Lepisosteus oculatus: one gene and its partners. The protein of the gene in region 3 purifies or fractionates together with the protein of the main gene of each other region. This does not show direct contact. Links are inferred from orthologs where the notes say so. Each region holds a gene or a part of one and is shown on either strand. Other genes may lie near its edges. The genes, in order: mrgbp, chd4b, histone H2A.Z and wdr5.

What was found.
Region 1: the proteins of histone H2A.Z (region 3) and mrgbp purify together in Homo sapiens (affinity purification with mass spectrometry; 4 studies listed by BioGRID and IntAct, with this or other methods). This does not show direct contact. The link is inferred for Lepisosteus oculatus from reciprocal best matches to the Homo sapiens genes H2AZ1 and MRGBP.
Region 2: the proteins of histone H2A.Z (region 3) and chd4b purify together in Homo sapiens (affinity purification with mass spectrometry; 3 studies listed by BioGRID and IntAct, with this or other methods). This does not show direct contact. The link is inferred for Lepisosteus oculatus from reciprocal best matches to the Homo sapiens genes H2AZ1 and CHD4.
Region 4: the proteins of histone H2A.Z (region 3) and wdr5 purify together in Homo sapiens (affinity purification with mass spectrometry; 3 studies listed by BioGRID and IntAct, with this or other methods). This does not show direct contact. The link is inferred for Lepisosteus oculatus from reciprocal best matches to the Homo sapiens genes H2AZ1 and WDR5.

Annotation. Positions count from the first base shown.
Region 1 is NC_090711.1:7,361,851-7,369,314, reverse strand, and holds the start of mrgbp (MRG/MORF4L-binding protein), read left to right. Parts: upstream 1-4,460; 5' UTR 4,461-4,506; coding exon 4,507-4,642; intron 4,643-6,022; coding exon 6,023-6,144; intron 6,145-6,665; coding exon 6,666-6,747; intron 6,748-7,018; coding exon 7,019-7,093; intron 7,094-7,233; coding exon of another isoform or gene 7,234-7,270; intron 7,271-7,464.
Region 2 is NC_090718.1:3,158,133-3,165,753, forward strand, and holds the start of chd4b (chromodomain-helicase-DNA-binding protein 4), read right to left. Parts: upstream 3,021-7,621; 5' UTR 1,779-3,020; coding exon 1,715-1,778; intron 1-1,714. UniProt on the Homo sapiens protein: ATP-dependent chromatin-remodeling factor that binds and distorts nucleosomal DNA. Acts as a component of the histone deacetylase NuRD complex which participates in the remodeling of chromatin.
Region 3 is NC_090696.1:32,276,675-32,284,525, forward strand, and holds the start of histone H2A.Z, read right to left. Parts: upstream 3,004-7,851; 5' UTR 2,898-3,003; coding exon 2,895-2,897; intron 2,642-2,894; coding exon 2,564-2,641; intron 2,279-2,563; coding exon 2,165-2,278; intron 1,924-2,164; coding exon 1,794-1,923; intron 926-1,793; coding exon 864-925; 3' UTR 1-863. UniProt on the Homo sapiens protein: Variant histone H2A which replaces conventional H2A in a subset of nucleosomes. Nucleosomes wrap and compact DNA into chromatin, limiting DNA accessibility to the cellular machineries which require DNA as a template.
Region 4 is NC_090719.1:7,051,085-7,059,059, reverse strand, and holds the start of wdr5 (WD repeat-containing protein 5), read left to right. Parts: upstream 1-4,972; 5' UTR 4,973-5,167; exon of another isoform or gene 5,168-5,171; intron 5,172-6,570; 5' UTR 6,571-6,631; coding exon 6,632-6,712; intron 6,713-7,975.

The DNA of each region.
Region 1 (7,464 bases), on a different chromosome or scaffold from region 3:
CTCAGTTTAACATCTCATCCGAAAAATGGCACCCACTACAGTATAGTGTCCCCGCCACTATACTGGGGCATTAGGACTCACATAAACCACAGCGTGGGTGCCCCCTGCTGGCCCCACAAACACCTCTTCCAGCATCAACCATAGCTTCCCAGGAGGTCTCCCATCCAGGTACTGACCAGGCTCAACTCTGCTTTGCTTCAGCAAGTAGCCAGTTGAGAGCATCAGGGTGATATGGCTGCTGGCTTTTACAGTGCTATGTCTTCCAAATAAATAAAATCTTAGTCAATTTCACTCCTACTTGTTTAAGTCTCTATTGATGTTTACGACTGGTTAAAGTCAGAACCTGAATGTTTGATCTATGGACACTGGGGTAAGCTTAATGAGCTCCACATGGAAGTTGTCTTTCTTTTGAATATTTTGTTGTCCCCTGTATTGCACTGAAAGAAAGTCATGTTATCCAATATTATGGCATATTATCCAATATAAAATCAATTATCTGTATCACTGTCAAGTAGATATTTCTCATGGGAAATCTAAACATATCCAAGAAGCTGGCAGGAAGTTTTAACAGTCAAGAAAAGAAAACTGAAGTCAATGCACTTTCCTCTGGGAATGAGAAAGTTCAGGGACATTTCAGACTTTTCATTCTGAAAAATAAACCTTCCATGCTCTATGTTACTTGGTAACTCTCCAGTTTGGAAGGATTTCTTCTCTTGGAAAGCAAGCTAGACTAAATATAGACTAACCTTTCTGCACATCTGACAAACACATTAAAAACAGTGAGACAAATTAACACTTCCCCAGCTGTGAAACTGCATCAGATGTTAATCTAAGCATTTAATAGATTTTACCACAGAACCTGTAAGTGTTAAACAGATTTTAAATCACTGACAAATATGTCCTATTGCCAATCTAAAGCAACCTTTTCTACATTTAAAAATGACTTCTTCAGTCTCGGGGGTGAGTCAACATTTCAGTGACATACTTATTATCCAGATACCTTTCTGTGAACGCTGAATAGATTTCCTGGAAGGAACTGAACCAGTGATTGTGTCATAAAATGCCTTAATCAGTTAGTGTGATGAAATACACTCAACGGCCAAAATATTAGGAACCCCGTTTCATAAAATGGTGGAAATTTACAATCACCAACAGCTGTGTGACCAGGATGTGTCATGTGTTGAACAAATCTTTCACAGACTAGAAACACAATCTTTTCAGGGTTCTGTAGGGGGATTATCTTCAGTTTATGGTGTGTGAGATTGAACATGAACTCCTCACTGGTGTCCACCTGTACTCAATCAAAAAGTTGAAATGAGAGACATGAGATTGCCTGGGAAGGTGATGGATGTCTGTCTCATATTAAAGCATTCACACATTGCCTGGATCTCAGGGAGTTTCTTTCCTTATTTTGTCCAGTGAATTCTTAAGAGTAAAGGCTCACAATTGTGTACCACACTTTGACATAATGCATTCTGGCTCAGGTTCCCCTACTTCCAATCTGTAGTCTTCTATTTAACAAGGAATTAAGGCAAGTGAAAATTGTGTTTACAGCAGAATCGTTTCTTGAGTTTGTGAAAGGATGGCTTAGCCCGCATGGCTTAGGGCCATAGGACAGGGAGGCTGCGAGCTCCATGGTTGGAGAAAAAGGCAACCAAGGGGTAGCTGCAACTGTGGGAGTTGGGTGGAGGAATGCAAAACAAGCGAGGAAGAGTGTGGTGCATATGGGAATCTGAGAAATTACATCAGGATAAGTTGTGGGAAGCAGCAGTTGAGCTTTATTTGTCTTGCTGCCTTCAAACCTCCCACACTTTTGTTAGAACTCCATTAAAATTTCACCTCACTGCTGCAATCTGTTTTTGACCAGCAAGGACATACTGTACAGTAGTATCCTTAACTGTCTCATTGACAAAGAATGAAACCTCTCCCCTCTTCTGATAAACTATGGCCATGCTGCATAATCAGAAGAGGAGTTGTTACATATAGCTCCCTCCCAAAAGCCTTTAAGGTACTGAGTCAGAAGTGTTTTTTTTAGAGCATTTTTTTATACTTATAAGTCTAGCTCCGTGAAGTTGGCCCATCTAAGAAACAACATCCGAGAAGAAACACGGGAAAGTCCACCGTCTGACACCTGCGGACCGCGGCAATATTGGAAACATATATATTTATTTTCACGTAACAGAAGTGAACATATATCAGAATTATTGAATGAACTGTCATTATCCATGTGTTTGTATTTACAGGGGTCTTATGCGCAAACACGAAGCGGTGTGTATGTTTGTGTTTCCGGCCAGTCCTCGGTGTAGAATACAGCGTGAGGACACACCTGCCCTCTGAAGACACAGGTGTGGGTGCCTGTGTTAGATCCTCAGGTGAAGTCGAGTCTTCTGCAGTCTGCAATGTAATGACCCAGACATGTTTGCTTGTCCTGCTACATGAAGTTGCCCACCCGCCCGTCGAACAGCACAAACGACGAAACTCACCGCAATCGTTAATGCTGCGGTTTGTGTCGCTGTAAGTAGCGTTTCTGCTGCTTTCGTTTCCGACATATAGCGCCTTGTTTTTCGGGTATTCGAGTGACTACCTACAAGGAAGTTTACAGGTACCAACAAACTCGGTACTTGCCTGATTGTGATTAAGGCAATTTGTGAGGGCAATTTGTTTTCCGAATCTGTCTAGTCGGGTGGGGTGGATGTTTCAATGTATTTGAATATAGCGCCTTCTTTTCCTGGCTGTGATGTACAAAACAGCAAAGTCACGACCACCAGATATTTCAGTTTTGATCAGTTGACCCCAGACTTTGCAGCCTTTACCCGAATAAACAGTCATACATTTAGGAAGGAGTTACTATGTTAGTTCATTGGGTTAGGTGTTTTCTTTTATTTTTTTTACCACGTTCTCGAAAATGTATTTCTTGTGTACTCCTTTCATTGGTGAAGAGACACCAGTTTCCAAATTACCGCTGGTACAACACGAGAGTCCATATTCACATTTTTAGGTATTAGTTTCAAGATCGATATAATTTAACAATAAAAAAACCAAATTGAAAGCACGAGCATAATAATATAATGATCATAGACTTTACATTTCTATTCATTTTTGAAGTACAAAGCAGAAGGTGTTTCCCCTACCTTACGATGAAAATTGTTCAGATACCATGTATTCATTACAGAAAGCAGCGGAGACAGTTATATTGCAAATAAAAAAAATATTTATTTCGACGAGTACGGGACATTGTGAATCAATAAAGACGTTTTTAAAAATAAGCCGATGTAGTTATTTTACAAATAAGTAAAGCATTTAAAAAACAGATTCTCATTGACAGTAAACAAGCAGATCCAGCAGGCGCTACTAGCCTGAACAGCTCTCAGACCCGTGATTGGCTAAAACTCCCGAACAGTCCGGGCAGCGATTGGGTGAAGAGTGAGAATCGACAATCTGATTGGGTAAAGAGCCACAGCGGAAGTTCTGTGTGTACCGTGTGTGGTGTATGAGCACGCTGGATATACAGTAACACATCTATTGGTTTCCAATTACTGATCAATCTAACAGAGTCGCACTGAGGTCAAAACTGAATAGCAGACAACGAATGTCAAGGCATCCACTGCGCGTTCACGACTCCAATAGCATGTCACGATAGGAGCGCAAATCAGGATCACATCGCGATACCCATTGCGACTGCCGCATCACTGTCATGGCACCACTGTCGCAACATTAAGTCCATATATCGCGATACGACAAACCCCAGCAAAAATGCCCCGCCCTATGTTGCGACATGAAGCCCTTATATCGCGATATGACATACCCTGGCAAAAAGGCCCCGCTCCCATATCGCGACATGAAGCCCTAATATCGCGATATGAGATACACTGGCAAAAAGGCCCCGCCCCCATATCGCGACATGAAGCCCTTATATCGCGATATGACATACCCCGGCAAAAAGGCCCCATCCCCATGTCGCGACATGAAGCCCCTATATCGCGATATGACATACCTCGGCCAAAAGGCCCCGCCCCCATATCGCGACATGAAGCCACTGTATCGCGATATGACATACCCGGCAAAAAGGCCCCGCTCCCATATCGCGACATGAAGCCCTTATGTTGCGATATACCCTGACAGAATATGCTGACCCAGAATCTACTATTGAAAATCTCCTTGATTATGTTTTTTTCTTTCTTTCTAGTGTTATTTTGATAATAATAATAATCATCATAATCATAATCATAATAATATGACAATTTATGATAAATATAATATTTATGAATAATTTAGCATAATAATTGTTATTATAGAATTTTGAAAGTAATTTGTTATAAAAATAATCATAATTAACTATAACAATAATATAAACATATAGCGATAAAAACGGATTTTTTTTAAAAAAAGGTCTTAGCATAAAATAGGCCAAACCGAGATTGCAGCTCCTTCTTCATGTTGTTAGAGGGCGCTATTTTACTCTTTTTTGCTGAGCACGACCTTTTCCTGCTAGAAGATTCAGAAAAAATGGGAGAAGCAGAGGCCGTCCCAGCTGATGAAAAACAGGCAGATTCGGGGTCTAGTCCGGTGGAGGAGTCGGTAATATGGAGCCAAGAAGTGGAGGTCTGCCTTTTTCATGCTATGCTGGGCCACAAACCCGTAGGTAAGACTGCAAATGATTATGAACTACGACAAATGATGCCGCCACTTTTAAGGCCTATGAATCCTCGGTGTTGAGTAGTTAGGTCACCGACTGAGGAGCCGTTGCCGCCAGCCACGCTAACTAGGGTACTATTGAGGAAGAAAAGGAAGATATTGGAAACTGAAAATCCTACCTCAAATAGTGAATTTGGCAACTGCTGCTCAAATACAGTACAAGATGGAGAAAACCTATGCCATAGTAAAAACACACATTCAGATATCGTATTTTGTTAGGGTAGATGGGCGTTCTGTTTGTCCTCCTTGGGACCGTTTTTACAACTTGAGAGACCTTGCAAATATCTTAAAATCGACTAATGGTATCGCACAATACATCTACATTGATGTTACTGTTAATCGTTTATACTGTACATAATTTTTAAATGTGATCAATATTAATCTCGTAATTGTTTTTTTATACGACGAGACAATTCGTAGTAAACAACAGAGCCGTCTCCCCCTGGTGTACAAGCCAGGAGACGAAGACTAAAGCTTCTGTATAGCTCTGTTATATATCCAATATCACCTCACTAGAGACCAACTCATATCACATGGCCGTTGAATTGTTTTAGTTATCAGCAGATGTAAGAACATCATGGATAACGCTGCCTGTATAATGGAACTGTTTATATTTATAGTTCGGTACGCCAGGACCTTTAGGATTTATTCATTTGCCAATGTTTGAATGAACTGTGTCGAGCAGCTTAGTTTTTTTCCCATTTAACTTTTTGGTTTGTTGGCATTGAACAGATGTACTGTATATCGTGCTTTGTACAGTTACCCCACGAGGTGAAATAATAGTGTAAAAGAAAGTAATACCGCAATATAAAATTATGTCATCATCAGAAAAAGAATGGAAGATGCTTCATTAAAGACAACCGGAAGCTTCTAGAATTTAGGATATATTTGATCTTTTTTTTTCCATGTTACCAGATGATTATCCATCTGTTATGTTATTCTAAAAAGAGAGTTGTCCATAAGCAGCTTTTCCGCTCAAAACAGCTGCCACTTGTGGAGGTAGGGCGCTTGAGCAGATTTTCATTCACTCATCACCTGCCTCCTCCCAGGGCTGACTGATCAAATTCTGAATCATGAAAAGGTGGGTGCAGCAGACCTACAGGGGCCAACAAGAATATCTAGTCTGTAGCATTGGGTTGCGTCCTCTCTCTTAGGGCAAACCAAGAGATGGTGTGGACTACAAGGTTACTGACCAGGCCTGTATAGTAAAACCTATTAATGTTAAAAAAGGACCAGTCTAGTCCAATGTGGGATTGTGTTTAAGGGTTTTAATTCTTATTTAAACCTTACCATTTTGTTGTGTGTGTATAAATGTATTTTGTCTTAGGAGTTAATCGTCATTTCCACATGATCTGCATTCGGGATAAATTTAGCCAGAATATTGGACGGCAGGTTTCCTCGAAAGTGATTTGGGATCATCTGGGGACAATGTACGACATGCAAGCTCTGGTTAGTATGCAGTGGTTATTGGTAGTTGCATCCTGTTTATTTGTGGCACTACTGAAATTGCCTGTGTAGTCAGTTTGTGGGTGTTTGCTTCTGTGTCTGCTTTGTATGCCCTGTGATGGACTGCTATCTCATCCAGGGTGTATTTCGCCTTGAGCTCATTGTATGTGGGGTTAGGCTCCAGCTCCTCCCGAAACCCTTAAGTAGATAAGCAGATATTATGTTTAATGTGTTGCTAAGATTAGATCATTTTTACTACAATGACTAAGAGCTAATATAAACATAAAAAGGTGTTTTAGGTGCTACTAGCTGGAAATAATGTATGCAGCAATTGTGTCCATGTCTGCAGCAGTGTGAAAGATAGATTCTCAGTTTACTAAAACTAAAAGTTTTCCTCTTGTCCTATTAAGACTGTAGAAATATGTATTATTGTATATATTAAATATTGAAACTTAAAATATTCAAATATATTAATTATTAAATATAATATAAATGTTGTAATTTTTTGTTTCTGTTGTCTGCAGCATGAATCCGAAATCTTGCCTTTCCCAAACTCGGAAAAAAGTTTTGTTCTGCCAGAGGAAATTATTCAAGAAGTCAAAGAAGGTAAGACCGACTCACGCCTCACTACAAAAACATTCCTGACTGATTGTTCACAACAATCCTTGACATTCCTGATTTGTAAATATTGATTGCTTCTTTAGTCATATTTAAATGTTAGTAGACATTTTCAGTTTTTTGTAGTTGATGAGACGTTTGTCTCTAGCACTTTCTGCAGTGTCATACAATCTGAAAAATATTATGCCATGAGTGAAAACATATCATTTCTGTTCATTACTAGAATATGTTCTAAGTTTAGTTCTTTGCTGGCATGCAGGAAAACTGGTGGTCGAAGAAGAAGTCAAGGATGAAATCAAAGAAGAACGAGACCCACCTGCAACCATGGAAGAAGGTTCTCGCTTAATATGTTTATTTGGTTGGCTTGTTTTCATTTTCTAGTTAGATGTTGGCTGTGCTATTGCAGCACTTTGGCACCTTCTGCTGACAGAAACTGGTGTCCCTCATTCTGGTCATTTATCTCTCATTTTTAAGGTCTGAGACCCACTTTGGCTGGCCAGGATTGTGAGAGGTATGGACAGAAGAATGCTTTCACTCTGTTCCAACAATCCAATATGACCTCACTAGAGACCAACTCATATCACATGGCCGTTGAATTGTTTCAGTTACCACAAGGTGTACAAACATCATGGATTTCTCCCTTTGAAACAGGCAAATCCTTATTTATATATTGAGAGGACATTAAAAGCATGTCTTGGGGACGGA
Region 2 (7,621 bases), on a different chromosome or scaffold from region 3:
TGAAGGTACAGTACATGTACTGGGGGAGGGGGGGTTGGAGGAGATAACTTCAAGTCAAAGTACATCACAATAGGTGTATTAAGTGTATTGTATATTAAGCAATTTCAAGTGAAAAAAGCCAGAATAAGTGAGCTAGCTTTAGATCAGAAATCAACTCCAGACAAAAGTGGACTTTTATTAAGAGGGGACTACAAGTATCATAGGCATACAAATCCATAGTCAGAATACTAGACTGATTTTAAATGTACTTTTTTAAAGAATGTATCATGAACTGAGCCGACCTCTGTTACAGCTCTACCAATAACTAAACCTGCTACTTTATTTCACGTCTGATAAATCCGATTAGACCTAAATCTAAACCTAAAATAAAAACTAAGTTACCGTGCGAACATATAAAAATAAACTTAATAAAACATGACCTATATTTTCTCTTTCTGTAATGCGTACCCTCAAAACAAGTTAAATTTAAGTTCTCAAGGTACTACCCAGTAAAAAGAAATTTCCCTTTATGATTTTTTTTTTAAAAACAGACTTCCGTAGGAGTCAGGCTTCTGTCGGCGACAGGAAATAAGCAGGCCGCGGTCCCCAGCCTGCTTGCTGGCACACCGGCTTTCACGTAATAAATACGGAGAGAAGACCCAACTGCCCAACTAGTGCTACAAAAACTGTTCGAGTATGTTAGAATAGTTACTCTAAACGTATTTTCTCAATCCTCACACCCTATTCGCTCATGATATGCAAGATTTTGTTCTTAGTTGTTTCACTTTAAGACGAGATCCACAGCGAGCGAAACAGGAACTCTTGACAATTACGTAACGCTTCCCAGATATTAACATTTTATTTCAAAGACTTTTTTTTTTAATCCTTGACTTACGCAGAAAGGATACTTAAAATCCACAAAATCGGATAAGGTGGTTTAAGAGCAAATTTTCCATGTATCCTTCTTCCGGTGTGCTCACACACACTGCTGACTACATAAAGGGGGATTACAAAATAAAACGATAAAGTTCTTACATCAGTTTTGGGCAATTCGGTATTTTCAGGCCGATTACATTTTTGCAAAAATCAGGAAATTCATTAAAAAAAACTCTGTTCCCTGTTAACCGACTCCCACACGTGAAGACACAGTAGGCCCCTAGTCTAAAAAATGCCGGTTCAATTGCAAACCGGCATTTCCTATTTACAGTGCAATTCTTCAGCCGTAACAACAAACAAGTACAAATTATCACTGCAAACACACGCACACATATATAAACACACAAACACGAGCGAGACTATAAAATAACTAGCCCAGGAAAATCTGAACGAGATGTTTTAATGCATCCGGGTGGCATTTTGTTCCATCACTCAATGTACAAACTTTTGCGATCCAGTTTTCTCTCTTTTTTTTAAAAAAAAAGACAGTAAAACGCACATCCCACGATAAAAGAACGTATTAAAACGCAGACCTAAAAAAACAAATACCGATGACAAACGCAGACACGCAGGCCCCCGTCACCCACTCACCAACCCCCCCAAAAAGGAAATTAAAGAACGAGACGCTCCTGTCCTCGGTTAAAATGTTTGAAGCGGTAACATAACTCCCAAAATAGACGATCGAGTCTAAAAAAGACTAGTCTAGTGCACTATCTTTAAATACTCTGTAAAGACAGCTCCATTTCACGTGTGCTGCGTTAGGTTAGACATGCGAGTACAGCCAAAATATTTCAGTTACCTTGCAAAAGCGAGCGGTCGTCCAAGCTTCCGAAATCCTGTCCCTCGTCTTCACTCCCGGACATTTTGTGCTAAATGGTTTTCCTATAAATATATCTGAAAGTGAGTTTGTGTGTGTGTGTATGTGTGTGTGTGTCGGTACCGGGGAGGGAATTATCGAGGGAGGGGGTGGTAATGGTTGGAGGGGGTTGGAGGGAGCCGACGAGCCGATGATGAAAAAGCCCTTCTTTGTTATTTTACGAGAAAAAGAGTCACACAGTGCATAAACCCGGTCTTCGTAGAAATTTCTCCGCTACCGGCAATACCAGCGAGAAGGACCGAGTTTGTATCCCAAACTAGAATCGATGCTCCTCACACACACACTACTGAAACCAGGGGGGGGGGGCGCCGCCAAACTCAACGTTAAAAGGATATAAACTCTCCGGAAAAGAAAAACTGTCGATGTTTTCAGTTAGATGTCTAAACTGCAATACTAGTACTATACCGGCTTCTGGAAAGTGGCCGGCAGCGAAGTAAAGTGAGCTGGGAGTTGCATACAAAATAATAAGTATTCCGGATAAAAGGGTCAAAGTTGGCGTTCAGCGGTCTCCTCTTGAATGTCCCCCCCTTTATACAAAGAAGACAACCGACGTGTCGGAGTAGAAATGTCCGACTCAGGAGGGTTGTATAATCCCGAGTTGTGCCAGGTTACGAGTAACCCCAAACAAAAAGAGCGATTACACGAGGGGAGTTCAACAACGATTTCCTTGCCGGCTCAGGAGCGAAGACAGCTTCTTCGAAGAGGCGACTGATTTCCGTGGGTATTTCGGGCACGACAAAATGTCTGGTCCAGTCCGGCCGCACAGTCATCCGCACACACTCGCCCTCTCCCTCTCACACACACAAAGAGACCGGGGCAAACCGAAAAGCGAGAGAGAGGCAGGCATCCCATAATAATAATCCTGTACACCCCCCCCCCCCCACTCTATAATACACACTAACACTCCACACGCAGTTACCCCAGCAACGGACAGACCATAATACTCCATCCCATGTATATACACACGCACGCAAGACACCCCCTGGGCTCTTCCGGCCCCTAGCAACCGCCGTTGCCGTGGAGACGGTCGCGCCCCCCCCCTTCCGTGCCGACGGCCATCCCATAATACCCGGGCTCCACTTCGCGGATCACCCATCCCATAATATGCATATCTCCAAAAAATTATCAGTCGCCTGGTCGCCCAGGCAACCCAGGCCACAAATGACAGGCCATAATACTCTCCTACTGTACAATGTGTGCACACGCACTGTACATGCTCGGCACACACCAGCTACACAGGCCGATTCAGACGGCACACACGTGTGCACGCTGCTCTCATGCAGACTGTGCGCACACACACGGAGTTTGCACAGCCTTACAGTCTGCTGGTTTCCATAGAGACCCCTGACATTGTGAGGTCCCAGCGACAGCCTGACAGGGTGTCAGTCGGTGTGTACAGAGCACTGTCAGTGTGCTGTAGAGCTGTGCTCATGTCCCCATACCTGCTCATCGCAAAACAGAGGTCTCACATGTTCAGATAATCTCCACCTCCAAACACAGGCACAGTCAAAACATCCAGTGTCCCCATGACATAAACAGTACAAGCCTGAGTTAGGCCTCACAAGAGACACAAGGCCTAAAATCTACCACTCTGCAGTGCTGCTGTGTTTGAGTCTGCTCCCTTTCTGTGCTTGTGGGCATGTGGCATTACCTACTCTTTGTGCCCGGGCTGCTTAATTTCATATGGCAGTACTGTGTAATAATAACAACAACACAGACTAGACTCCATTCCTCTCTCTCTTTGTTGCTATAGAGATTTTTTTACAGGGGGGGTGTCATCCCATAATGACCAATCAGGAGAGAGAAAAGTGAGGGGGAGGGTTGGTTGTCATGGAAGCAACCCCCCCCCCTCATTACCTTCCCCCCTTTAGATATCCCATAATACTAATAGTAACATCCAGACCCAACTACACCCCATAATAATAAACCATAGGCATGGGTGCTAAAGTGTGTGTGTACTTGAGGGGGACATGTTAGGATGACTGATGTGCTACCCGGTTGCCATGGAAGCTGACTGACAGACCATAATTAGCACCTGACAACCTCCCACCTCACTGGACAGCCCATAATATTCACCCTGACAGCTGAAAATCCTGAGAGAGCATCGCCAGGGGATACAGGGAGGATAGTGGCTAAGGAGACTACAGCAGACAGATGGACCAACAGATGCAAAGCCACAGACTGACATCAAGAAACACAGACAGGCAGACAGAGAGACAGGCACAAGAAGAGGTTAATTCCACCTTCCCTGCTCTAACCTTCACAGAGGGGCTTATACGCACCTGGTGTACTGATATAAACAGGCCGAGTGAAACACCCACAGGACATGCATGAACACATAGAAACAGAGGCGGACAGGCTGAGGAACACACAGGCAGAAAACCAGAAACAGACAGTCGCACGCAGACATTGTTTCAGACAATTACATGCAAATTCTCTGCCAAAAATAGCTCAAAACACAAATTAAATTCAGGCACAGCATTAGGCAAAGCTATTATTGTTTGATACTGTACACTCTGCATACTGTAACAGAGCAGAACAGTACTGTTACGCAGTGAGTACAGTACAGCACAGCACTGGGAATGCATAATGTAGCAATAAAGTTATTTCACAATCGCCTTTGCTTACAGCTCGAAAAAGTGTGATAGACAGTGGTGGAATACAGCATTTTCAGCAATGCGAAACCCGTAAGATCACATTAGACCACGGTTGGCCAGTGGGTAAACCTGCCATCCCGGGACCCGAGACCTGTGCAGGAGAAGATACTTTATTGTCCACTACGGTGGTGGTGTCTCGCAGAGCCGTGGGATGTGGAAGCTGGCCTGCAGTGGGCCAACGCACTGACACGCTCCCAGAATGGGCGATGCCCTGACCGTCGCTCACTCCTTCCCCAGCCGAGTGACACTCCCGACTGCGGAGTGTTTTTTTTTGTGCTGTACAATACTTTCTTTTTATTTCTTTCAATCCCTGGCCCCATTCGACCCGGCGTGCACGTGCCTCGTCCAGGAATGTCCCAGGAATGTTCTGTGAGTCTAGGTGCTCCGTGAACACGTGTGGTACGCCCGATCCCCCATCACCAGGATCGACGGGGTTCTGGGGTGCCTTCCGTGAAACCTGCAATCAGAATGTTCTGGATTCGGGGGAGGTGCTGCACCTGACAACAGCGAGCAGCTGGAGCGGCGCTCGCACTGCGCGCGGCCGCAGACGAGCAGAGAGAGGCCCGAAGCAGTGCGAACTCTTTCTCAGGATGCGTTCCTCTAATGACCCTGGGGGGCCTCTCTTCCCGCCCTTCAAATTCTCCCTCTCAACCTCCCCCACCTCCCCCTCCACCCCCCCCCCGCCAACCCTCCTCGGCCAGCAGCCTGTGGGACACAGAGGCTGCCCGCACACATCCCATAATTTCCCAGCTCCCCCTCCCCCCTCCCTCCAGCTCCGCGCACAGCCCATAATAGTCCGGCCCTGCCCTCCCTCTCCCCCCCCCCCCCACACATCCCATAATAACCGGTCTGCTCACACACCACCCACACCAACACAGTTCCAGAGAGAGCGTCTGTGTGTGTGTATACAGTGTGGGTCTGTGTCTGTACGGCTAAGCAAACAGACACCGTTTTCCCCAAAGCGCACTGCTCTCTGCGGTCCGACGGCCACTGGCGCAGACAGGCAGAAAGTCAGCAGCCTCTCTGGGAGACAGGGCAGAATGTGCAGAGCTGCGCTGGTGGCTGCAGAAGCTGTCCACATTGACGTCACACGCTAAAGAGCTCTGACCAGTCCACATCTGAGCGGACGCCGGCTCTCCTGGACCCCGATCCCCATCCAGGAAATCTCCCGGTAATCCGGTCCAGGGGGGGCACCTTTCATCCAGAGACTCTCAGGGCCCCCGGCTGCAGGTCCGCAGACTGGGAATGTGGCCGGCGTCCAGTGGGGCAAGGGAACGGTGATCACCCGGAGCCGTTGGAATTTCAAAAGCACCTTCTACCCTCCCCACCCCCGAGGGAGTGGAAAATGGGACATTTTCACAGCTTTCGAAAGAACCTCAAGAGCTTGCGGGCCCGAGCTCTCCCCTGCCGGGTCCTGCGCTTGGTGCCGCTGTCCCGCTGTCCCGCTGCCTCTGCGGCGGAGTCTGAGCAGGCGGCCCGTCTGTCAGGCTGTCCTGTCTTCCCGCTGCTCCGCCACCTGAGCTCAAAGAAAACTCACCCCCATCCTACAGGGCTGCACTGTTGGTTTTAATATCATAATAATAATAATAATAATAATAATAATAATAATAATAATAATAAGTACAAGTAGGGAGCTGCGTCACCATGCGTAGACTGCAAAGGAACAGGTAACAGGTTTACTCCAGGCTGAAAAGAGAAGAAAGGAAACACAATGTTTCGTCTGTGGGGCCTTCTTCCAGTGTATTATTATAATAATAATAATAAAACACAGAATTGGTGTCCCATTAATGGCGTATCCTTCTTTTTGCCCATGACTTGCTCATTGAGGCTCCAGCTCCCTGTAATTCTGGATAAAGCAGTTCAGAGGCTGTTGAATAAGAATAAGAATAAGAACTGTTAGGGAGGGTTCTACAAATATCTAATATATCTGACCGAATTAAAAAATGTTTGAAATAATAATACATTAATAATAATAATAATATACGCGGGGCTATACAATGGGTTTAAAGTAAATAATCATCATGCAGGGTTAAAAAGTTTGTTCAATATAATAAAACAATGAGAGAAATCACAGCAGGCTATGCTGTTGGCTGACAGGGTAAAAACTATGCAGAACCGGGCAGGTCAGGGATCTGAGCCGTTTCTGTACAGGGGAGGGCTGTGCTTTCCTCTGCTGGAGGGTGACATCAGCACTGCACACTGGAACGCCGGTCTCCCACTACTGCTACTGCTGCGGCTCACACACACTCACGCGCGCGCGCACGCACACACACACACACTCTCGCGCGTGCACACCGCATCCCATAATAAGCCCGCTCTGCTGGGTGTGACCAGACAAAGGCCATCCCATAATAAGCCAGGACCCAAACGCATCCCATAATAGTTGGAGCGCTGCTAAGTGACTGATGGAGTCAAAAGAGGAACGTGGGGGTGTGTGCGTCACACAATTATGCTAAGTATGAAAATGATGCAGCAATTCTTACACTACATGTATTTTTACTGTAGAGGTGTATAAAGTTTCTCTGTCTCTCCTCTTCGAACAGTGATAGTTACTTCCTCTCACCTGTCTTTCTGAGATTCTACATTCATGTCAATCTATTGAGTTGTCTGTGAGACTGTTAATGGTCCAGGATGGTACTGTACATCAGTCGGTGTGTCTGTCTGTCCCATTCTGTCTATCTTCTTGTCTATATCTGCCTCTGTTCCCACATTGTCTCTCCATTCATCGCTTTCTGTCTGAACCTTTGAGATTCTGTCCGTCTCTCTTTGCTCAGAATGTAAGGAAGCTTGACAGTGAGTGGTAAGTGTGCCCATCTGTCCCATCTGGTAATAGCCTTATCTGATCCAAGAGCTCATGCTCTTATTGGCTTCAGCCCCATGTTTGTTCCACACCCCCACAACCCTTTGTGTAAAGTCCAGTCCTCTGCACCTTTTTTGTAATGCAATGCCCCTGTGTTTCCACTTTGTGTGCCCCTCCGGTTGGTGTTTTTCGCTGTTGATTCCTCTGGTTTCACTTTGGCAGTGCCTTTGAGCACTTTTTTGATACTGTTTGAATCAGCTCACCTCCGTTCGAAGCACAGAAAGATTCGGATCTTCTTGCCTGTCAGTGTAGGACACTCCTTCAATTCCCGGAATGTACCCAGTTGTGGTTCTGCAGGAATTTCTCTCCCTC
Region 3 (7,851 bases):
GTGAAAACAGAATTTAAACAATTGCAGAACATTAACTTTAAAAGTGACCTGAGCTTTTTATGCATTTCTTTGTAAGGAGTTGATGCATACTTAAGTCAATATTACCACAGACCATTTAACCAAACATTAGGACAAGATAGTCCAAATATTTCACAGGATTTTTATAGTAAGCTTTCTTTGTAAACACCCCATTGAGAAACTGGTGTCAATTTAGTCAATACATACAGCCTACCATTATTCAAATACCAGTGTATTTAATATTTCAAGACTCCTGTACAGCTGCTCAGATAATCTGATCTCCCATGGTGGACTGTGCAAGTCAAAACCATAGGAAAAAAAAACATTTTAGGTAGGTTTCTCAGCTAGAAACAGGAACTAGTGTGGTTACACACAAAACTGATCAACTGATAATTCTTATGCAGGTGGATATTTGGAGATACAATATCTTAAACATGTGCTGCCAAGTACTTCAAACTACTTAATATACTGTACTTCAAAACATGCATTTCCAAATTCACCAAAATCATAACGCTTTATAGCATTGGAAACAAAGCAGTCAATACTTTAACTTTATTCCAGGACAAAACTTCAATCATATAAAGCGGATTTTAAATTTAACAGAACAAATCAGTTCCTGGATCACACATTAAATAGGAAACAATACTGCTGCAGTACCTCAACCTAGTATTAAAATAAATCAGGCTTCTTTGAAGCCAATGTATTTAAAATACCTCAGAAATGAGAATATGCAAAGCTCAAAACAATTTAAAAAGTCTAATACAAAGCGGAACAAGTCTCATGCTCTTTAAGAACAACCCTTTAAACCATTAGTCCTGAGATAGCTTGGCCAGCGTCAGCTTGAATTATACAGTTTTCTGCTGTCCCTTCTTCCCAATCAGCGACTTGTGGATGTGAGGGATAACACCTGTGGACAAAATTCAATTTCAGAGTGTTAAGGCCTGCACTTTTCCAGGTCAGATTAAAGGGCTTGTGCATCAGTGAAAACTGGTGTCATTTTCTAAAGACCTCAAAATCAAGGTGGACAGAAGTCTTCCCATTTCTCCTCTCCAAAACACAGATGTTTTGAAGAGCAAACATGTTATAAATAGGGAACATCCCCTGGTATTTGAGAATGTCAAAGGACATTAAAAAAAAACTATTTATAGAGCACCTTTCATTCAAATAGCAGCAAAAGTGCTTTCCAAACCAAGCATAAAAAAAAATCTTAAAATGAAGAAACCTACTTTCAGTTGTAAAGGAAAACTATAATCAGTAAAGCAACAAATGTCAACTTATGCTTGAAAAGGAAAAATAGAAATGAGGAAAGTCATAATAAAATGAGAATAAAAGAAATAGAAAGAACAAAGAACCATTTTAACTAAAAGCTAAATTAAAAATATATTTTCAAACGCTTTTTAAAACAATGTACCAAGCTTGACTGCCTAATAAAACGTTGTAGGGAGTTCCATCATTTAGAAGCATAAAAACAAAAAGCAGTCTCTCCACTCCAAGTATTTCACTTGTGGTATTGGCAGATCTCAGGTCACGTATAGGACATAAGCAAAGAAAAGCCAAGTAACCAGATTAAAATTAGTTTAGAACCCCCCCAAATCAATTATGGTTTCAATTTCACACAGGCGATGTTATACTACAGAAATATTTTTTTTTTTAAAAAAGCAGAGAGTTCTGCCTTGCTTATTGTTTATGAACCGTTTAAGTGCTCCCGTCTACCAAACGTGGCACATCTGCACAAATGAAGAGGAGGGCTAGCACAGTACAAAAGTACTCCTTACCACCACCCGCGATGGTCGCCTTAATGAGCGAGTCCAACTCCTCGTCCCCTCGAATCGCCAGCTGCAAGTGACGCGGAGTGATGCGCTTTACTTTCAGGTCTTTAGACGCATTTCCTGCCAGCTCCAGAACCTGGGGGGGGACAGAAAGGGTGTCTTTATCGCCAGTGTCCCCGCTGCCTTCCCGCCTCTGCTGCAGCCATGGGGAGGGGGACCACCAGCAATGCAGTCCCCGCACATGTCAAGGAGCCTGGCACTTCTGAACGGATAGAGAAGGGGAGTAGGAAGCAGCGTGGATTCGACATAAAGCAATTAATACACCTTCACTGTAGCTCCTGCCCTACAGAGGTTTTGCCCGTAAGCAGCCAACACACCTCGGCGGTCAGGTACTCCAGAATGGCCGCGCTGTACACCGCTGCGGTGGCCCCCACACGCCCGTGGCTCGTGGTCCTGGATTTCAGATGCCGGTGAATACGACCCACTGGAAACTACCAATGAGAAGGAAAACAAGCAGAAAAGGCGTTAGTCTCTCCCGATTAGGAAGATATTTGCCCCCCACTTAAGGTACAGTTTTGATATGGTTACACAACAAAATATGAACTACAGCGTGTCTTTGAGAAACTTGTACCCCTCACTTCCGCAACATCGCGATCCACATGAATCGGATCCCTCCCCACACACACCACACACACACGCTTTTCACTAGTTCAACACCACATATCCACAAGCTTTGCCGGCTTCCCCCACTGCAGAGGAAGAGACGCGATACAGACCTGCAGCCCGGCTCTCTGCGAGCGCGAAACAGCCTTTGTCTTGGTCTTTCCGGAGTCCTTCCCTGCTTTCCCTCCAGCCTGAAAAGCACATTGTAGCAGATCAGTACTGCTCAAAGATAGGAAATGCAAGGACAAAACAAAAACGAAGGCTAATCAGATTAACTTCAATCGCCACGAGCCAAGAGACAAGCGTATGTGCAAAACAGACGCCAACTGCGTCCTGGTGCGCCACGATGCAACTTGTCTTCAGTAATTCCACCCCAATTTACCTACATTGGGAATACACGGTGCAAGATCGAGGTCTTCTAACACAGTTACGAAAACCGCTTACCATTTTATTCCAGTCAGTAACTACAATGACAAATTATGCGCGCTGCTACCACCACTCTCCTCTCTCTGCCTGATTTAAACTCATATCCCGCCTTCTCTCTGTTATATGCAAGCTAAAGTACAACATCCGGGACCTGGAACTCCATTACGAGCCAATTACATTTCTAGATAATTAGAGGGTGCCTCGTCAGTCCAACCAATCACCAATGTCTTTTTGTTCAAAAGGGCAGAATACGGTTATTACGCGCCTATTCTTTTTAGCGGAATTGTGGGAAATGTAGTTCTTCTCCGGTGTATTTGTATTTCAAGTTAACGTTTTAATGTTTAAGTTTATTTTTGGTCCTTGTTTCTAACTATGCAAATTGACATTGTAAATGTACAGTATTTTCATAAATTTTAATCCACTTGTCTATGTTATATTGCTGCTGCATACTTTCAAGGAGCCCAGGAGCCCAGTATCAAAACCTAAGAAGTACGTTGCTAAATATGGCAGCAGTACAAATACATGTTATATTATTAGCTACATGTACTCTAAAATATTTTATTTTTTCGCTGGTAAAGAATAGGTTTAGTAGTGATTTCAGCAGGGTCAGGGCAGTTTCAATTGGAATGCTGTTAACAAGCGTTGCCACGCTCAGGACTTGACAGTAATGTAAAGTTATTAAATGTTTTCCTAGTTGCAGAGGTGTGTAATTGCAAAATATCTATAAAATAAGAAAGCAACACGTGTGATATCTGTATCGAATAATAAATACACGTTACTGTAAGGTAATTTAAATTAAACTACATTTAATATTTGAACTGTGCTTGGTTTAGGGGAATTCTGAGCTAGAAAATGCAGATGTAAACTGACGTGACTCAAATCACATTGTCTGGTATACAGTATATTCAATAAATTACACAAAACTGAGCTATTTTTACACATCCAATGTTATTACTTGGTAGTTTGTATATTTTGTTATTAAGCTCCACAGTGTTTAATATTATTTAGCAAAAAAGGTGCACTTGACTGGATAATGTCTGTTCTTAGATCTACCTTTTGAATTGCCTTCTGTATGCATATTGAACAGGAGAACAGGAAACACTTGTTAAGATACTTAATTTAGAATAATCTAACCTTTATTATAACATTTATACTGATGTAAGATGGATTAAGTGTCTTAATGGATATGAATAATAAAATTGGTGGTGAAAAGGTGCTTGATTAGAAGGAAAATGCTGTCATTTTCAGATGTCATTGGTTTGTATCCATGGACAGGATATAGGAAGGTCCTTATAAAAGAAATACATTTGTATATTCAAAATCCACATATTTGTATCATTATAAAGAACATTATCCCCCATGTAGTCTGATAGTCTGAAATATTACAAGTGTAACATTATTATGAATCAAATGAGAAATTCATGTTTCAAGTTATGACCTTAGACCTCATGAACTATCGAGCATATATTATATGCCAAGAGCTTGACATTCTTGGAAACTAAAACAAAGAATTATCTTTGACAATACTATATGTAATTTCCTTATAAAGAAAGTGAAAAAAAGACAATAAAACTCATTTTGAGTATTGAGGAATGTGTGGGAAGGCCCCATGTCCCAACACAGAGATTTGCTTTTTTCATGTCATTTCATATTCATTATTAGTAATATTGCTGCAACAGCCATGACTAAAAATTCCTTCCAGTTTGTTTGGATCTCTATTTAAGTCATTGATATCATAAGTTACATCCTCAGAGAATGATTTTATTTAGTTCAAGTAGGTAGCTGCGTCAGCATGCATAGGCTGCAAAGGGAGTCAAGGTTTATTCCATGTTGAAAAGAGAGGAAAAGAAACACAATGTGGAGCCTTCTTCAGGTGACCTCGAAATTTTTGTAGAAGACTAGGAGTGTTGCTTGGGTGGTGACAGAGTCAAAGGAAAAAGTGTTAAATTTCAGACAAAATCATTTAGGAATGATATCATAACAATGAAATCTGTACAGAAAGCTCCACAGTTGTGTTTCTCCTCTTCTCTTTTCAGCATTGAATAAACCTTTACTTGTTCTTCTGAATTATTTTTTAGTTTTGCTTGGACTTTGGCCTATTTAAACACATCTGCACATATTTCCAGTTTTAATGAATCTTTATTTTACAAATTATCATCATTATTTGATTAATAGACGTCCTTACCACGGGCATCTTACCATGTGCTAATGTGTGGTTATGAAGACAATAGCCACTGACTGAAAGTTAGTATGCAAATAAGACCATTGACGTGATAACGACTCCTCATCCTGGGAGAGACAGGAGGTGGACAATGGTGTTGTTGAAAAAAAAAGATGCCTTGAGCACCTACTGTATTCTCCATTTTATCTTGCTCAGTGACAACAGCTAACCACCCAAGAAAACCTGTTTGAGACCATCCAGTAGTTTTTATTAAAAGAAAATCAAATTTGTATAAAATATTCTAATCAAAGTTATTCTATGGACAGTACTGTTCCTTAGTGTCGTGGGAGCCCATCTACCACCAAGCTGAAACCCTGACTTCCTTCAAGAAATGGCCTGATGAAATCCTCAAGTAGCTACTAGCAGCCAAATGAGTTACAGTAGGTGAATCAGATGACATGCCCTGATCTGTTGCAAGTGTTTCCATTGTGATGATCCGTAGGAAAATATGTAGAAGAGGTTTGCAATTATATATAGATGTAATAAAAAACAAAAATGTTCATGACAAATTCAGCATTAACTTTAGAATCAAATATAACTTTAAGGAGTAGGAATGTACAAGAGAGTTTTTGTTATTTTTTTGTGATACCAGTTACAGTACATGTGTGTGCTGCAGGATAATCAGTTTAACCTCTGAGCAGAAAGGTTGCAAAAGAGGAAAAGATATAATGTATCACCATTTAAGGGGATAGTATACTATTATTAGGCTTGAACCCATATGTTTTAGAAACACAACTGCATCACATGCATGCTTTCTAATAATCAGCATGGAGGATCCAATTAATTTTCCTGTGTTTAAAACTGGTTTTGTGAATTTAGTTCACCTTAGAAACCTGCATAGAATTGCCACATGGGAACAACAACAATAATAATAATATAATAAAATAATTATTTCAAAATAAAATATTATATTAGATATTAACTGATTTAGCTGCAGCATATCCTGAAATGATCTAAGTCTAATTATTAGATTTAAATGTAAATTAATAGATTTAATAAAGCTTTGTAAGTTTTCTATTTTTTCAATTGGATACAATTGCAGTACATGCAATGTATTGCACCTTGCAATGTAAAATGTGCATTAGGAGTTATTTATTTATATTCACTTTCTTTTTTAGACTGATGATACACGTATTTATTCACTTGTGCCAGCATTTTGTGGTTTCTCCACCTCCCACTTTTCCTGTTTTCCATAAAGCCAACATTGTCTGAGGAGGAATGTGGCCCAGAACTGTGCCTTTTCCAGATCTTCTGGCATTCATTCCTTGACATAATTATTTATTTAATTAATCTTAGTCCATAATCTTCAAGAAGTGGGGCTCTGTGCTCTTAGATAAGGAAACAGACCAGCTTCCTCTATCATTGTGCTCCATTCTTCCTAACATAATGCATAGGCCTTCCACCTGGTCTCATAAAGCAGACATACTTGAGGCAGGATAAGATTTTGCAATTGCACCTAAACTGTAAGAAGTTAATGTGTAGTATAAGTGGTAATCCTTTGCTAATTCGACATATATAACCACACTTTGAACTATACCTTGCATTGTACCGTATTGCATATTTGAACATGTTGCAAGTTGTAACAAGAGCTGTATAAGGTTACTTGTTGCACTTGTCTATCTATAGCTACAGTACAGTCAACAATTTGATTATGACCTTGATTGTACAAACTGTGATTTTCACTCTTACTGTAGAACTTTAACTGAAACTGAAGAACTTAGGAGGGAAATGTAAAGGGAATTCCATTTCTGGGGGGGGGGGCAATATATATAGGCCCATAGTACTGTTTTTCATTAATAATGTGCTGTGGTACTAAATTTTCTTATATACTCATGTCATTATAAATTTCCTGAGTCACAAGGGACTGATGAAAAAAATAAATAAAGCACATAAATGCTATTATTTATATGTATACATTATGTATAATAAATATTTAAAGTAATATAAATATTATGACAGTATATGTAATTAGGATTATTCATGTTTCTTTAATGACATTTTTTTAAAAGGTATATTTAAGGCATTTTATTGTGGATTATGCATACTATGGGCACAATTTGAATTTCAAAATCTAAAGACCCCCTGCTCCATACACAAGGAAAACAAAGAAAAATAGATTGACACCTGAAAAAAAGCTCAATCCACAAAAAATAAAAACATAAAAATTCAAAAAAATTAAGCAAATGAACTTCTTAAAATTGACACATAACAAGGGTTTTGTAGCAAAAATATATTTTTTTCTTCTTTTGTTCAGTGTGGCAATACCTTACTTTTAAAATTATATCCTTTAAAATTAGAGACATGTCAAAGTTACTATTTCAAAACATGTTATGTTCCATAAAAAATCTGGTTATGCATATACAGTACATAAAACTGTTCAGACAAGTGTACAGTCTTCAGTGCATGTCAGCTAAAAAAGCGTTGTGTTTATTAAGATAAAATTTACTTTAGGATTATTTTAGGGGCAATTTTAATGCAAAAATTATTGTTTGTTTTTTTACCAAATGATAGCCATGTTGTTCTTGCAAAGAGTAGGAATTGATTTGACCTCAGGCTTGGCTTTCTCTGCACTGAATTGTGGGATTAACACTGTAATAATAATAATAATAATAATAATAATAATAATAATAATAATAATAAAATTGCTTACACTTATATAGCGCTTTTCTGGACACTCCACTCAAAGCTCTTTGCAGGTAATGGGGACTCCCATCCACCACCACCAATGTGCGGCCCCACCTGGATGATTATATG
Region 4 (7,975 bases), on a different chromosome or scaffold from region 3:
GAATATTTTAATTTATTACTTTTCCCCTCAGCAGCTCCAACAGCGTTTTGCTTGCAGTCGTCCTACCAGGTCTTCTTTTATTTCAGCAAAGCAGCATAATAGATGAGGTCCTACGAGTCTCCTGCTCATGCGCCGCAAAACAAAGGCATCACGGGAGTCGTCGTTCACCGCTCCAGCTTTCACTCTGAAATCGGGATGTTTTGAAAATCAAGGACTACAGCTTCCAACATGCAGTTGGCTGGTTAGCGGTGGTGTTTCTTGGCCCACTCAACAAAGCTTAGCGTCGTACTCTAGTTTGAGAAGAAGGAAAGATAGATTTTTTATTCTGCTTGAATAGTTTTTTTACGCAGATTACGCTGTATTGTAATCGGATGGTGTTATTGATTTTCGAGTCAAACGATCTGGTTGCTTCCTTCAAAGACATCGAGTTTATTTTGAAACTCGTGCTGAGCACCCTTACTCTCCTTCAGTCATTACCAAAACTAGTTTTGTGTAATTGCGAAGTTCGTATTCTCTGAGCTGTCAGTACTACAGGAAAGATCACTTCTGGACTCTAACAGTGGAATCGATAAAGTATTTAATATTGCAGTCATGGGATGCTGGATGTATATTTTTAATCGTGGAAAATGTTGTAATTGTTATGTTAATTTACCTTTTAACGTTAATCTTTTCAGGTATAAAACGATTTTTAAAGCATGGAGGAGAACGAGAAAAACGTGTTTGTGTGAGAACATAGTTTTCAGTTTATCAAAGTATTGACAGAATCTGTAGGATTTTTAAATGAACAATGAGTTTTCACCTCCTATACAAAAACATTGATGCAGAATGGCTTGTTAAGTGTTACAGTAATATGTTAACATTTTTGATATACCATGTGTTCAGCAAACAAAAAATATATATTACTCTAAGTGAAACTGTTGGTTAACAGCTTTAGTCCAAATGGGAAGCCTGACAGAAAAACTGGCTTAATAGACATTGGCTTCCAAATAGCAGATGGTAGACTGCTTGCAGTGTGACCACCTGTTCTTCATCTTGCTTGATGTGATTCTCGGTTCTTCATTTCTCCTTTTAAGTGGGTAATTTAAAAATAATTACCAATTGGCTTCTTGGACCAGTTGGGCTTGAAGAGGCATGAGACATCTTTTTACAGCCAATAAATCTACATGGTACCATACTTAGAATGCTCACAAAATTGGAGTCTGGTGTTCATATTTGCATTCCATGATGCATTAAACTTATTAACTCCAGTACTTTTGTACCCGTATAAGTAGTTTGTGTATTGAAAAAAAACGATATTCCAATGTTCCAATATTCCCTTGTTTAATTTTGCAATGCCTCTCAGTATATAGTGGTTCTATGTGCAGTGTTTACTGTCAGGGGACAAAATTAAAATATTTTTCTGTGTTCTTGCTCGTATTACTGAAAATTCACAGTTAAAATTATTTTTTATCATAAGAATATAAGAAAGGTTACAAACATGAAGGGTGGCTTGGTGGTGCCGTGTCTAGCATTGCTGCTTTGCAGTGCTTCATTCAGTGTTGCTCCAGATCGACAGAGCACCAATGTATGTTTTCCGCATGTTTACTCTGGGTAGGTTCCCACTGGGTGCTCTGGTTTTTTCCCACTATTCCAAAACATGCTAGGTTAACTGGCTTCTGATAAAGTTGGCCCTGCTGTCTGGACTGGCAACCAGTCTATGGTGTACTTTGCCTTGCACGTTGGTTGTTTGAGATCGGCTTTCCCCGACCCTGAATTGGATGAAGGGGTTAGAAAATGGATGGGTGGCTACAAACAAGAGGTCTGTCTAGCCCATTTGGTAAAGAGTAAATAATTGAACAAGAGACCTTATTCAGATTTTGCTTGAGAAAGAGCAAAGGTTCTGGCTTCAAAAACCTTTTGTTTTGGACACTCTGCAATATGGGCCTGTCCCATCGGCCAATCTGCATGTATTCAGCAATACTTCATACTTCATCTTCTATAATAATATTTGATTCCCTTCTTGGTTTTTGCATTGCCTTGAAGATAATGAACAGATTCGATTGAAGTATTCAGAATGGTCCAAGTTACTGACTTCCTCAGGGAAACATAAATAGGAGGAGGAGACAGGATGGTATACATAGAACTGAGAACTATGTATATCAAACAAAACAGGACTGATTGTGCCTTTCTTCAAAAATCTGCAGGACAAGGTCCTCATATCAATCACCAACCAACAAACAAACATTCAAGATGACTTTGTCTCCATTCAAATATTTCTTGTGTTCTGTGTTTTTTCCAATGTAGTCTGTTCTCAAACAGTGGCGGTTTATGATTTCAGCACTTTCCAGCTCATAAAGTTTCAATTGGTCATCAGCAGTCTACCACAAAATATAGTGGTCTGTACAGGTACTGTCAATAATGAGTCATGCAGGGTCCTTCAATGTATATAAAGGGAGAGGAGGTAAGATAATAGCAAAGCTATTGGATTTTTTTTTACGAGAGGAAAAGAGGCACAAGCAAGAAACATTGTTTCTTATAGCTGTTCTTTATGGTGTAATCTAATCTTGCTAAATAATATTTAGTTTGTCTTGGTCAATGGTTTTGGGTTAAGAAATTTAGATTTAAAATGTGTGCTGCTTTAGGTATTCAGATGACAAAGCGAACGGTCATAACATTGGCCAGTGATGTATACCTAATTTGACAAAGATTTAATACTGTGTCAAGATTATCATAGAGCCAATACTCGAAGAACCACACACCCAAAGGACAAGGATTCCTTCAAAAGGAGTCCAGATTAAGTCATTAATAACTGTATATGGTACATATATTTCAGAACATTTAAACAGTCAACATAAAACTAGTCTAAGTCTTATTTGAAATGTGTAAAACAAATAGAACATCTCTAATAGGTCCTTATAGCTAAACTATATCTGATAAAACTGCCAGAATTTGTTGCATGTAGTGCACTCAGAGGAGCTGTAGGAACTAAGAGCAACATGAGATGGAGAAACTGGTAAGGCCTTCATTCAGAGTCGCTCCAGATCAACAGAGCACCAATGTAGAGAAGTTGTCAGAGAGCAGGTGGTCCCAGACTGTGAAAGATTAAAGAATACTACATTCCTACCCAATACTCCTACCTAACATGACGTTGCCAAATAAAATGATTCCACTTGAGGATCTGGAAACAGGCAGGGAAGTTGAGTCTTTGAAACTCAAGGCTGTAGTTCCTAGAGTTCTGTCATCACAGACATATCAGCCATGACAATTCCAGTCAGCGTCAGGAAAAATACAAGAAAAAGAGAAGGGTTGATTGTTGGAGACTGTGTTCTCATGAACACTGCAAATGAAACCTCACATAAACAGCAGTGTGCTATAACACTAATTTCAAGGCTACCAGATGGGCATCTAGCAAGGACAGGTGAGCACCCAGTGGCTATTACTCATATTGAGACAGATGACATTAGCATAAGTAGCACAATTCTTCTATGGATCAAATTGAAATAGAATTTCTTAACTAGTCATGTCCAATACCATAATCATGTTATGTTTTTGAAACATTTACTCTTTGATGGGCTTTTTGGCAGATCTGTAGGTTTCCTGAATCTCACTGTATAATCTCCCAATAGACAATACTGTATATAGCCCATAGGTAATCACTTTGACAAATATCAATAAAGTTAAGGACAAAACTGTGGGCAGCACAATGGCACAATAGCTAGTTTTGCTGCCTTGTAGCACTGGGGCCTGGGTTAAAATCCTGGGGTGCTAACTATGTGGAGTTTGTATGTTCTCGCTGTGTTTGTGTGGGTTTCCTCTGGGTGTTCTGGTTTGTGTGTGTCTGGCCTGCAAATGGTCTCCTGCAACCCCGTGAAGAAAATAGATGTGTGAAATTCTCATCTTTTTTTCCCATAAACCATGATTTAAATAGATAGAAGAGCAGGTGAGTAACAGGATCAACACACTTTATTTCTTCAAACTAGTAGCCTCATCTAATACATCACGTTAGATTTTAGGAAAGTATCGTTGCAGGTTTGAGCACACAATATTAGAATACACAAAACGTGCCATATCATTCCCCTGACAAACTATACTGGAGTGTGCAGTTTACACTTTTTTGAGCTTCAAATCTATTTTTAATGCATGTTTCTCATGTATAATGTATGTATTCATACAGAAACAGCAGATATAGATTTGGCACAAAAATGTACTCAAGGAGTCACCAAGATGAAATCGTTGACCATTTGTAAAATGTGTTTTAAGATATGAATTGGCAAGTTCACTTTTTCGCATGATAAGGATATATATAAGTAAAGTGCAAACTGTCTCAAATTAAATGGTACTGGAGCTCAGCTCCAGTTCAAATTAAGCGTAGAGGATTATATCTGAATGAAAAGGGTACAGATTGTTTTGATTCATAGTAATTTACATTACAATTGCAAGGGGGAGAATTTAAAGAAGAAAAAAAGATACATGGAAAGTAAAGATAAACAACTTGAGTGTTTGTACCTAAATGCAAGGAGTGTTAGGAGAAAAATAAAGAAAACAGAAGCTAAAACATTAGCAGGTGACAACAATGTTACAGGTACCAGAAAGAAGAATTCTGGTGAAGAATTAAAACACAAGAAGATACAGGATAAATGAAAGAGTTGGGGAGGTAATATTATGGTAATAATATACATCATGAATGTTCAGGCACAGGAATTAATCAAAAGTCTCAAAACAAATGTGGGTCAGACATAATGTTATTCAGAGGGAACAGTGCTAAGAGTTTGTCACATACAACCAAAATAAGCTTTCAATTAATAATATAGTCTTATGTAATGAAATCAGGAATGTGTATAAAAAGAAAGAAGTGCAAGATCCTACAACTTCACACATGGGTTATTTTCCCAGCTTTCTCGTCCTTCACTAAATTTACCTCGGCAAAGTTACTCGCCACTTTTGTCCCTTCCTGTTTGCCGTAAATATAGTACATGTTCATGCGTGCGGACATGCGCACTGTGCGTCTGTCGCCACATTCCCCGCCTGAGCTCTGAAGCCAACAAGCTGCAGCTTCTTCATTGCAACAGAAAGAGAAGAAGGACAATATTCCAGTTATTGTTCAAAAGGGAGGGTTCGCAAGGCGAACCAAGACGTCGATTTGGTGACAAAACGAACGGTGACCGTAAAGACGACCTTTGAGAGGCGAGTAGGTGCGCATTTTTTATTGTTTGAATGGAAGGAGTAGAATATGCATGTGCAAAGAAAGGAAAAAAAATCCTGAATGATTTGGTTTTAACGCAGACTGGGGGGATGGGTTGCAGACGTGGAAATGCAGTGGTCTGAGATTTTTAGACGCGAAGCTAAAATCGCAGTGTAAAAATGTGCTCGAACGGTGTGATCAAGGAAGCATGTCTGGTTTTGAGTGATGCTTTGGCGTTTTCTGTGCCAGGCCGCAGTAACTGATTAAGTAGTTTAACCTATAATCTTAGTTTTTTTAAGACTTCAGTAGTTGCTTGTGAGTAAGAGAAGCCTTATGTGTTTTTGATTAGTGGACTTTTTTATATTAAAAAAAAACAGAACGGAGTACCCGGTTTATAGCCTACGGTAGTCCTGTTGTTGTAGATGGGCAGGTAAATTATGAATTACGACGACTCTTACTGTCGTACTCCAGTACTGCAGCCTGTCGCCTGAATGCCAATTTGAAGTGAACAGATTTAAGGTTAGTTGCTACATTAGGTAACAATTCTGTTCTGAAGGTTCCAATTCGTGCCATTTAAGGTGTTGTTTTAAAGGATTTCACCTACCTTTCTGCTGAAGTCCCTCCTAAGGTAAACTTTAACCGTATATAGATTCCGGTTTGGTGAAATCTTCACCCGTAACGTTTTGATTTGATCACGCTTCATACAGGTGGCATTCACAAAAAAGATGAATGTCAAATAATGTAGTTTAGGTACGTAGATTTATATACTGTATTATTTATGTGAAGACATGTCATTCATGCTCATTTTTATCTCTTCCGCATAACAGCGAAGCTGAAACGTTCCTTAGTGTATTAGCTTCTTATTTATGTTGTGAAATACAACAAGCAGGATCAGTAACCTTAAATTGACCTGCTAGCCTTATTTAGGTCTCAGTACCATAAGCATTACAACCTTGGTTCAGTTTGTTTTTAAACCAACCAGCTTAATGACTGATGGCCATTGATTTCTGTGACTTACAGAAAATAATTAACCATATTTATCATCATCAGTTATCATGTCCAGTTGAAAGGCCTGGCCCCACAAAAGATTTTAAATCTATTTCATAGCATCTTTCTGTATTAGAACTTTGCAGTGTACAAAATGTACAAATGTTACAACAGACCTTTAAAATGGAATACAATTTTATAAAGAACATTCAATGCTTGAATTAAAAATATCTGTATAAGACATATTAATTTTGAAGATTCATGTTTTGGAAACAAAAATGTTTTGAAAATGAAGCTGTTTCAATTACAAGTAATGGGCAAATGAAATAAGAATTATGTGTCTTTTGGTGTGTGTTGTTGGTTTTGGTGTATGTTTTTTTTTTACTAAATGGGCGCAAACAACAAGCTTCTATTATTTTTAGTTGTGATCGTCTGGCTGCTCTGGCACCTATTCCGAAGATCTGATTCACTTGCTCAGTAACCATGGCAACAGAGGAGAAGAAACCAGAAACTGAAGCCACTAAAACACAGTCTGCTTCATCAGCATCTGCTAGTCAGAGCAAGGTAGGAGGGGCCAGAATGCATACTCTTTTTTGGCGGGTGGGAGTTGTCAGTTTCATTTGAATTGATGAGTCTGTTTTGACTGTAAATATGTATTTAACTCTACTTATTTTCCCCTCCATTTTAGATAAGTATAGATTTGTTGTACAGAGGTTAAATGATTCCTTAAAATGACCCCCTTTGTAAGCATTCTAAATGTATTGAGTTGATTTTTTAATTTCCTCAGTGTTGGATCTTGTAGATTAACTGCAATTTGAATTTCAGGTCAGCAGCATGTCCAAATATTGCATTAACTCATTTGAAATATTGTAAACTTATTTTACACAGCAAATGTAAGATTTGATCCTATATATTATTCACACCCTTTGGATTTCAAGTAAATTAGTATCTTTGCTATTAATATACTAAAGTGTAAATGATTTAGGAATGTAGTTAGCTGTTTACATAGCTTGCTGGTGAATAGTCTCTTTGCCATAGACATTTTAATGAGCTAAAGAGTATAAATGTTAATTTTTACTTGCTTACAGGAAAATGTCTATTGTTGTGACACAGTTGTGGTCAGAAATTCCACAAATTATTATTGTATGCTCAATTTCTGTAGAAAGTTTGTTTCAGAGAAGCATATTTTTCATATGATCTAAAATCTATAAGAAATTCTGCAAAAACAGTAACGTTACAAGTTATAATTATTATTTTAGCCTTTTTATTACAGATTAAAATCATATTCTGTATCGTGACAGCAGTAGTCCTTTGATTTGATCCATGTATGTTTAAATTCATTTATATACTGATGTCAGCTGTTGTTCAAGGAAGAAGCTTATTGCCTTGTGTGCAGTTTGATCAGTGTGGCAAAAGTATTTGTTTGGATGCAGTGTTTTATAGCGATTTTTTTAGAAATTTAGAATTGCCAGTTTTGCTATACTTGCAGTTTTGGTTATTCCAAATTGTGTGTTGTTTTACATCTGGGCTCACCCCTACTTACCTTGCCACTGCACAAGGGAGAATGATGAAGTATAAGCTGAGTCCTCTGACCTGTCTGAGTAAAAAAAAAACATTAAAAACGTTTTTTTTGAATATGTCACAGGCACACCGCCCTCTACTCTTTAGGCTCAGTGCCGATTGGAAGAGAGGCACCTTGACCAAAGCTTGACAGCAAGCACCCGAGTGCCTGCAGGGGTCACGGAGAACTGAGAGCCCTGACCGATTTACTCTCTGCTTACACTTAGCAATGCTTAGCCCCTGTTCACAGCCAGCCTATGACGAGAC